Linked DNA regions of Oryzias latipes. The protein of the gene in region 1 interacts with the protein of each later gene in a pairwise test. Links are inferred from orthologs where the notes say so. Each region holds a gene or a part of one and is shown in the gene's direction. Other genes may lie near its edges. The genes, in order: psmd5 and psmc2.

Region 1 (4,553 bases):
CTTTAAAAGTGAGCATCTTCCACCTTTCTGCTCAAGATCCATCCAGATTCTTTCCAACTCGTGGCTCCTCATGCCTGCAGAGCAGAACAGGTAAAGGTAGCAGCATGCGTTGTAATGAATGTGTTTATCTCCAGGGAACCTAGCACTGTGGGTTGGGGAGACACCAGCCTTCCGAGCACAGAGACCCACAAAAACATCAGCGGACACGGGCGCAAGGACCAATGCAGATGCCACATACACCTTCCGGACTACATCTTGGGACAGCACATAGGCGGTGTCATCGCAATATTCGGGCAGGTATTTGGCAGGGTACAGAGCGGGGGGCAGGTACCCGGGACTCTTAGGGTCCCTGTTAGGTTGGTCTTGTTGAATCACTCTGCCTAGGTACAGATCCTCTGGGTGTCTGTGTAGTCTGAGCAGGTAGCTGCCAAGAGCTGGAAGGTTGACAAACACAGATTCCTTGGTCAGCAGAACAAATCGTGCCAGGGGACAGAAGGAGATCACCCAGCGGAGAGCCAGCACGGTCCTCTCCTTTGAGCCATGGAGGGACCGCTCTGCTCCAGCATAAGCCTGGATTACATCTCCATAACGCTCAGATTCACTTAGGAGCTCCTGATGCGCAGCAGAAGTGTCAGACAGCGCTAAGAAAAAAAATGTCTTCACTGGAAAGCCTTCAATCAGGGTTTGGTTTGCCCATGTCTTCCTCACAGCGTCTCTTTGGGAGATGTTTCCTGCAGAGCTGAAGACCAAAGCGAGAAGAAAGAGGTCAGAGTTTCTGCAAGCCTCAGCGTTTGTTATAGGGTACTCAAAGGAAATGTTTTCCCTGGCATCGCTCAGGTCCAATTTCCTTGCTTTCTCCCTCACGCCAGTAACCATGGCATCAGTGTAAACCCCTGGCGTGGGCTGCAGGAGGTACTCCTCCACAAAATCTGCCCCGAACAGCAAGGCATGGAAGAGCAGTACGTTGAAAAGCAGGAAACACCACTGGTGGGTACGCAGCTTGAACAAACAGATCTAAAATTTTGAAATGAAACAGTTCTTCAAATTCAATTTCCTGAAAACGCTTTAAGCATCTGAAGACTCTTATGCTTACCCGCATTATTTGCTTCTTCAGTGTTAATCTGTAACACAGGTGAGACTGTGGTGAGCTGGAAAACAATAGTAGAGGATAGAGAGGGTTTTCCATGTCATAGAAACTCTAGAAGCTTGCAACTCTACACCTCATCAGCAGTACAGCTCCTACCTGAGTTTCTGCATCATGCACACAGAGGATGAAGAAACATTGTCTCTTACAAATGCTTGAATGAAAAATGTTCAAGTAATTGAACAATTCTTTAAAGATTAATTGACATTCTATATGTGGGGTAACTTTAAAATGACTGAGATTAGAAGCTGAAATAAAAATTGAAGACTGCGATATAAACATTGTTTTGTACTTGAAACAGACTGCGAGTGTTCGTCGCTGCATTGTTTTAGCTCCAAAATTGAAACATTATGGCTCATTTTAAGGGGTATTTACAAATATACAAATAGATTAAACCAAAATTCCTCAAGTAAAATAAAGTACAAGGGTTTTTTGTTGATAAAAAATCAAAATACATTACATGGTGTTAAAATCTGAGTGGTTGTTGTGTTGTCCTCCCTCCACCAGGTGGCGCTAATGGCTTAACACTCTTGTCGACTTTTTCGACTAACCATGACGAAGAAGAGGCGCAGGCGCACGCATATTCGAGAGACGGGTACGTCTCTGCCAGTCATGGCTGCTTTGATTCAAAGTTTGCTGGAAGAAATCTCCAGAATAGAAGATCCAGTTGAGGAGTTACAGAGCTTAAAAACGGCGCTGCTTTCTATATCTGTCAGTGCATTGAGAGACTCAGTGAGCGGACAACGTCTGGATGTAATATTTTCTCTGCTCAGCTCCAATGACAGGTTGGTTCGGTCCTGTGTTTACAATGTTAACAGAAACTGCCAAAACTGCTGCTAGCTAACTGCTGAGTCAGTCCGGCAGGCTTTGGCGTTTGTGTGGTGAATTGTAAATTAAAAAAGTAAACTACACATATATTTTTACAGTATGCTACTAGTTAGCATGCTTAGGCTAAATGTTTCTAAAGAGAGTTTTGTACTACTATACTCTTTTATTTTGTTCTCTTTTTACAAATAAAATAAACAGCATTAAAAATAGCCTTTTTTGGAAATAAAAAATCTCCCAGGTTTTTTTTAAGAAAAAAAAAACTTAATGAGGTTGATACCGTTTATTTTATGATGTAAACTAATTATCTACAGCTTTTGCTGCCGTAAAAATCTAAAGCAGTGTACGTTTTCTTTGTTTAATTCCTCAGATATAAGCTGCACGAGACACCCACTACATTTGCAAAATAAAAGAAAATTATTTCTTCACTTTAAACTTGTTTTCAAATAAAGATGTTAGCAACGTGAGAATTAAAGATAGAGAATGAAATGGAACATCCCAATTATTTCCGCTCACAGCATGATCTACAAATTGATGTTTGATTATCTGAAAAAATAATGTCAATACCAGCGGGCTTCATGTTTAAGTTTGCCTTTTTTTGTAGATGAAATTAAATGCTTTAAAAGCATTGTTTGAGCACAAAAAAATCCTTGTTTTTATTGTTTGTTTTAAAAAACAACAACTTTATTGTTAATTTAATGGATATATAATCTTTGTCTTCTTTCTTTTCCATTACTATCTTAGTTTCCTCTGTCACTTCAACTTTTCCTCTTTGTCAAGAAGAGAAATCTTTTTGAGTTTACCTGAGTTTTTACTTGAGTTTACATATAATTTCAGGATAACTTTGACCAAAAAAAAAAAAATCGTGGATAAAAATAAATGTGGCGGTAGTCTGGGTAGCTCGTTTGGTAAGGTGAGAGACTACCACGCAGGAATCCAGGGTTCGATTCCCGGAGGGGAATGAACAATGGTAATCAGGCAATTACCATATCAATGGCGAGCAATTCACATCACCCAGTGAGGGGCCTTGGGCAAGACCCTTAATGGGCAAGGCCCTTAACGCTACTGACTCCCGGGCGCGGTTCGACTGCAGCCCACCGCTCCCCCAGGGGATGGGTCAAATGCGGAGAAGAATTTCCCCATTGTGGGATAAATACAGTATCAGTTATTTACCAGCTCAGTGGCCTTGTGGTTAAAGTGTCCGCCCTGTAAGGGCCGAGTCTTACCAAAGACTTTAAAAATGGGACTCAATCCCTCCCTGCTTGACACTCAGCATTAAGGGGTTTGACTGGGGGGTTTAAGCCACCAAATGTTTCCGGAGCGCGGCTGTGTCTGCAGCTCACCGCTCCCCCAGGGGATGGCTCAAATGCGGAGAACAAATTTCCCACACCTAGGTGTGTGAAAGATAGACTAAGTATAATATATAAATTAACTGTTATTTGAGTTCTACAAGACAAAAAGTGAGGACTAACAGTGACTCAAAATTAGCTTTCAACCTAATTCACCTGAGTTGAACAAAAAGATGGAAAATAAATGTGAAAGTTTGTTATTTAGTGAAGTGAGGTTGTATTGAGTTGGGGTAAAACTGGAATAAGAGGAGGGACTACAGTAGGAGCAGTACAATCTGTCTCTCAGGTTGTTTTATCATCTGTCAGACAAGCCTAGTATAGAAAACGGACAAACTGAAAGCAGCAGGTCAAACGCATTTATGTGAAAATTAGCACAAACTTTTTCTTTGATCCTTAAGCATGTCATAAAGATGTTTGTTGTGTTTTGCTTTTCTTGAATTTTAGTTTTATGTGTTTTCCATTTTCTGTCCAATGTGACTTTTAAAAAAGCCTTGCCTACTTGTTACTTTCTACAATAAAAGCATTTCTGTGTGTGGAATTGCGCTTGCTGTTTCCTGAAAGAACTTTGAATTGACATCTGCTGCTCAGCAAAGTATTTGAAAGTTTTGTCCTGTTTTCTCGCTGTGATCTGTAAAGGACAAAGAGGAACTTAGTGTGGACTGTTGATCTTTGACAAGGCCCTCTGAATTTCGGCCACACTTTTTGATTTGTGTTTATAGGCAGCAAGTGGAGCTTTGTGTGGAGATTCTGGACCGGATCCTGATGGCCCTCAGCCCTCTTTATCTGGTCCAGAACTACAGGACAGAGCTGCAGGGAGGTTTGACCCATCCAAATGAAACCGTGAAGATTCTGGCTTTAACTCAGGTATATTTATGAGCTGTTTGTACCCAAACATTGCAGACAGCTTCCCATAATAAGTAAACACCACTTTTTTTGTTTTGTTTTTTGGTAATTCGTCAGATTGGCAGAATGGTGGATCATCCAGACGCCGCCACAGAAATCCTCAACAACGAGGACATTCTAAAAGCTGTTATCCTCTGCATCGGAGAGGAAAAGATGTCTGTGGCAAAACAGGTCAGCACTCAGCCTTTTAAAGGACCTCAGTGAGTTTTGGTTCGTCAACAGGGTTTTACTAAATGCCTTTTTTTCCCCCTCTTTTAGGCAATTAAATCTTTGTCTAAACTGAGTTACTCCAAACCTGGATTGGACAAATTATTCCACAGCGAACTTCTTAA
Region 2 (4,527 bases), on another chromosome or scaffold:
TGATGGACAGACATAAAACTAATGAAGTACTCCCATAAAATGCTTCTCCTAATCCTTGTTCATGTGATTGCATCACTTTTTTGTGATATGGTACCACCTAGTTTTCTCTGTTCTCACCTGAATCCCATTGATGTCAGATCTGTTTTTCTACATTTCATGTTGACAAATGGTCAAGATTTTGGCTATACCATTCTTTCATTCATCTTCTGAACCCGTTTTGTCCCTTACGGTGTCACGTGGCTGCCGGAACCTATCCCAGCCACTCGTGGGCGAGGGCAGGGGACATCCTGGAAAGTTTGCCCGTCTGTCGCAGGGCCACAAATCACGCACCCATGCACATTCCTACCTAAGGACAATTTAGAGTCCCTTGCCTCAATTAACCTATCAACCATGTTTTGGACGGTCGGAGGAAGCCAGGGTCTCCGGAGAAAACCCATGCATGCATGGGGAAAACATGCAAACTCAACACAGAAAGGTCCCCATTGATGTTCTGTTTCAGGACATGAAAATTCATGCTGTGAGGAAAGAGCCCCAACCACTACACCACCATGCAATTTTTATAGTAATTTAGTGATCCTGCATAACAAAGATTAGAATGTAATCAAACACTACATCATCAGTCCTTCAAAAAAGTGCACTAATGCCTCTTTTTACTGGAGATTAATCTCTAACTTCAAACTTATTATTTTCCCAAAAAGTTAGTTGTAAAATATTTCAATTCGATTGTGACAACAAGGTCAAAAAAGTTATTCTGATTACAGTATCAAGTCCAACTGTGGTTCATTAGTGAAAAGTGTTATTCCAGAATCAGTAAGGTTTGCTAATATTATTACAGCTAATATGGTCACAGCAGTCTGGTTTACAGAGGATGTACTTTACATAATAAGCATTTTAATACCATATGGGACTTTACCATTTTAGAATTTGTAATTTTTTAAAAATCATTTAAATTTTTGGGTTAGCTAAAAATGTGTTACTTCAGAGGAGAATGGAAACTTGGATTAGGAATTCTACCCTTACCCCTTCAATGTTTAGAGCCCGTGAATTTGTGTGGCACTGTCAGATCATGCCACCAACAAGTCATCTAAATAATAATCCCAACGTTATAACTCACAACGTTTAAGAATTTAAACATTTGTTTGATTTCTTAAGCTTTTTTGAACAACTGCGTAAGAGTAGGTCCATAAAGACCGATATGATATTAGCTGCGACCCGGCGGCCTCCACTACTTACCGGCAACCGCCTTTAGCACCGCGGTCTCCTCGGTATTCTTTGCTTCTAGCAGCATCTTCATAACATAACCGTCTCAAACATACACTTCCCAGCGTTGGTAAAGTAGTCCGAAGTGCTAAAGTTTAAGGGTCGCTCATTGACGGACCACATGGGCCTCCTCCCGGTGTGCACGCAAATCGAAGGAGCTCAGTGACTTCTGAGTCGCTATTATAGTTCCGCCTTTTTGGTTCCGCCACAACTTCTTTGAGTAGCCCCTTTTTTCATACATACATACAAATAATAACGTTATATAGCGGAATTATTTTTTAGCAGTATATACATTGATCGAAACACCGAGGACTTTTTGAGAAAACTGTTTTTAGAGAGAGTGTCCCATCAATTCGAGTCCCTTCTGGACTTCCGGGTAGCGGCGGAAGTGTAAAGTTGCTGTGTAATCGCTCGGTCTGGCAGTAGAAATAGCCCAGCATACGTGACAAAAGCGTTCGTTTGTATCAACTTTAAACATGCCTGATTATTTGGGAGAAGATCAACGGAAAACCAAGGAAGAAGAAAAAGATGACGCACCCATTCGAGGTTTATACAAAACCAATATTATAATCTCAACAACAATACTGTCGGATGTCATGTCGACAAACAAGCTAATTGTCTCTTAGCTCTCGTTTTTTCCTCTATTTTAAAACAACGCAATAGTTTTAGGTTGTTCCAATGATGGCCCATTTTTTATTTTTAATCAAAAACAATGTGTTTATAGTGAACAGATAAAAATGTTTCTTATTTTTAACATGATGACCAGTGTTGTAGCAATCAATGCTAACTGCCGGCTGAAATAGCGAAGTCATATTCCTGTTTTTTATTTTTTTCTGGTAGCTTTGGATGAAGGCGACATCGCACTGCTCAAAACATACGTAAGTTTTTCTCAAAGTGGTCAAATTTCAGAGTTGTTTTTTTTTTTCTTTCTTAAATTATTTTATTTTAATTTTATTCATTTATTTTTAGTTTTATTCTAAACGTCAAATATTGACCAAAGTTTGTCGTGGCTTTGCCAGGGTCAAAGCACCTACTCCAGACAGATCAAACAGGTAGAGGATGACATTCAGCAGCTTCTCAAGAAGATCAACGAGCTTACAGGTGGGTGAACATGGAACCTGGTCATTCCCAGGTGTTTTACCAAATATTGAAATATCTTTATTGTCATTGTACATGTTCAACAAAATTACAGTGCAATTTTTCAGTAGAATAAAAAGGGCATAATAAATAAAAAGGTATTTAGGACAGGAAATAAACTACATCGATTTCATTAGATATACCCAGTGATTACATTTGATTTATTTTATGATCCAGTTAAGATATATCCTCTTCTTCTTTTCCTTTCGACCACAGCCAACCAACTTCCTCTGTCCATCCCTGTCTTCTGCATCCTCTCCTCTAACACCAGCTACATTCATGTCTTCCTTCCCTGCATCCTGAAACCCTCTCTTTGATCTTCTTCTTAACCTTTTGCCTGTCATCTCTAGACTCAGGATCCTTCTCCCAACAAATTCACTGTCTCTCCTCTGGACATGTCCCAATCATCTCAGTCTGACCTCTCTGACTTAAACTCCAAAACATCTAACATGTGCTGTTAATTACACAGGGCCTTATCTGTGTATAATTAATATTTGTTAATGGTTTAATTAATCATTGTAATTTTTAAATGAACATTTATTTCGTTCTTTATTTGTGAACATCATTTTGTTTATTTATTTGTTGTGTTTATTGTACTTTAAAGTCTCATTTAATAAAAAACAACAGTAGATACAGGTTTCCACCAGTCCTAGACAAAAAATGGACTTTGTCAACTTTATACCAACAATAATATTAAAACACATTAAACAAGTTTAATAGACGCACAAAATGTTCAACTAGTAGTTAAGATAAAAATGATAGAATATTTAGAGGAATAAAATAAGAAAGAGAACGATCTCTCAATAAAAACATTGTATGATATTTGCAACATAACATGCAGTTTATTTGTGATTTTGAATTTGTCAGGCATCAAAGAGTCTGACACAGGCTTGGCTCCACCGGCACTTTGGGATCTGGCTGCTGACAAACAGACTCTGCAGAGTGAGCAGCCTTTACAAGTGGCAAGGTAAAACAGCCTGCCTTTTTAGTTTTAAAGACCCTGTGTCACTTTTTTTAAAATTTCATTTAGTCTTTCTTCCTCTTCTAAAAATCTTTATGATAAATGTGTTTTAGATGCACTAAGATCATCAACGCAGACTCTGAAGACCCTAAATATATCATCAATGTCAAACAGTTTGCTAAGTTTGTGGTGGATTTGAGTGATCAGGTGGCTCCAACTGACATTGAGGAAGGCATGAGAGTTGGGTGAGTCTCATATGATCATGACATGTCAATCACAAGCCGATTTATATGTCTCTAGCACACATTTGTACTTGTTGTTGCAGGGTTGACAGGAACAAGTATCAGATCCATATTCCTTTACCTCCCAAGATTGACCCCACTGTAACTATGATGCAGGTACGCAGTGGCAGAGTTTGGATAAAAACATGTGTGCGCTTGATTGTTGTTTTATTCATGTTCCCAGAGTGGCTGAACAGAAATGCATGCAAAACATGGAACAAAATGCAAAGAACATTGGGCCATATTATACATATTTTTCTAAATATTTTGATGAACTTGTTCCCAACACTCCTCTGGAAAAATTAACATCATATTCAAAATTCATGACCTGTTCTTTAGTAGAGGAAAAAGTTCTTAGGTCAAAGCCATAAAGTGCATAAACACCAGAGTTGGACACACCCTCATGTGACCTATCCTTTTTGTTATGGCAAATTAGAAGCCAGTTAGCTATCTTTTTTTAAACACATTTGCCACTTGTTGCAGCTATCGTAAAGCTAACAGTTGGACTAGTTAAATTTACATATGAGAATTATATCAATAAAATATGAATCACTAGATGTTCAATCTAGCCACCGGAGTGACAAAAATGGTTTGATCCAAAATGTAATTTATTTTTGTTGTCAAGGTGGTTTGTTTCATAAATAAGATAGACTTGATATATAGGTACATTCTAAGCTCTTCTTATTTGTAAAGATTTTGTCCTTGTCAAAACGAATCAAAATAAAAAGTGTGAAAGAAATTCCAAAAGCCTAAAAAAAAGTGATTTAAAAGTGTTTTGTTGGTAAACAAGGCTAGTCTTCAGATAAAAGTGTACAGATTCATGGTTTTTCTTAAAGATCAAAGCAAAATGACTCATTTCTTAGTTTGTGCTAACTCTGTGGTGCAGGT

The links.
Region 2: the proteins of psmd5 (region 1) and psmc2 interact in binary tests that used the Homo sapiens proteins (3 or more experiments, as listed by UniProt). The link is inferred for Oryzias latipes from reciprocal best matches to the Homo sapiens genes PSMD5 and PSMC2.

What each region holds. Positions count from the first base shown.
Region 1 is NC_019870.2:8,934,989-8,939,541, reverse strand, and holds the start of psmd5 (26S proteasome non-ATPase regulatory subunit 5), read left to right. Parts: upstream 1-1,681; 5' UTR 1,682-1,696; coding exon 1,697-1,929; intron 1,930-4,037; coding exon 4,038-4,182; intron 4,183-4,278; coding exon 4,279-4,392; intron 4,393-4,479; coding exon 4,480-4,553. Other genes in the region: putative UDP-GlcNAc:betaGal beta-1,3-N-acetylglucosaminyltransferase LOC100288842, read right to left, coding at 1-876. UniProt on the Homo sapiens protein: Acts as a chaperone during the assembly of the 26S proteasome, specifically of the base subcomplex of the PA700/19S regulatory complex (RC).
Region 2 is NC_019881.2:9,541,704-9,546,230, reverse strand, and holds the start of psmc2 (26S proteasome regulatory subunit 7), read left to right. Parts: upstream 1-1,622; 5' UTR 1,623-1,736; coding exon 1,737-1,806; intron 1,807-2,100; coding exon 2,101-2,138; intron 2,139-2,279; coding exon 2,280-2,361; intron 2,362-3,264; coding exon 3,265-3,364; intron 3,365-3,471; coding exon 3,472-3,603; intron 3,604-3,683; coding exon 3,684-3,756; intron 3,757-4,525; coding exon 4,526-4,527. Other genes in the region: dnajc2 (dnaJ homolog subfamily C member 2), read right to left, coding at 1,234-1,294.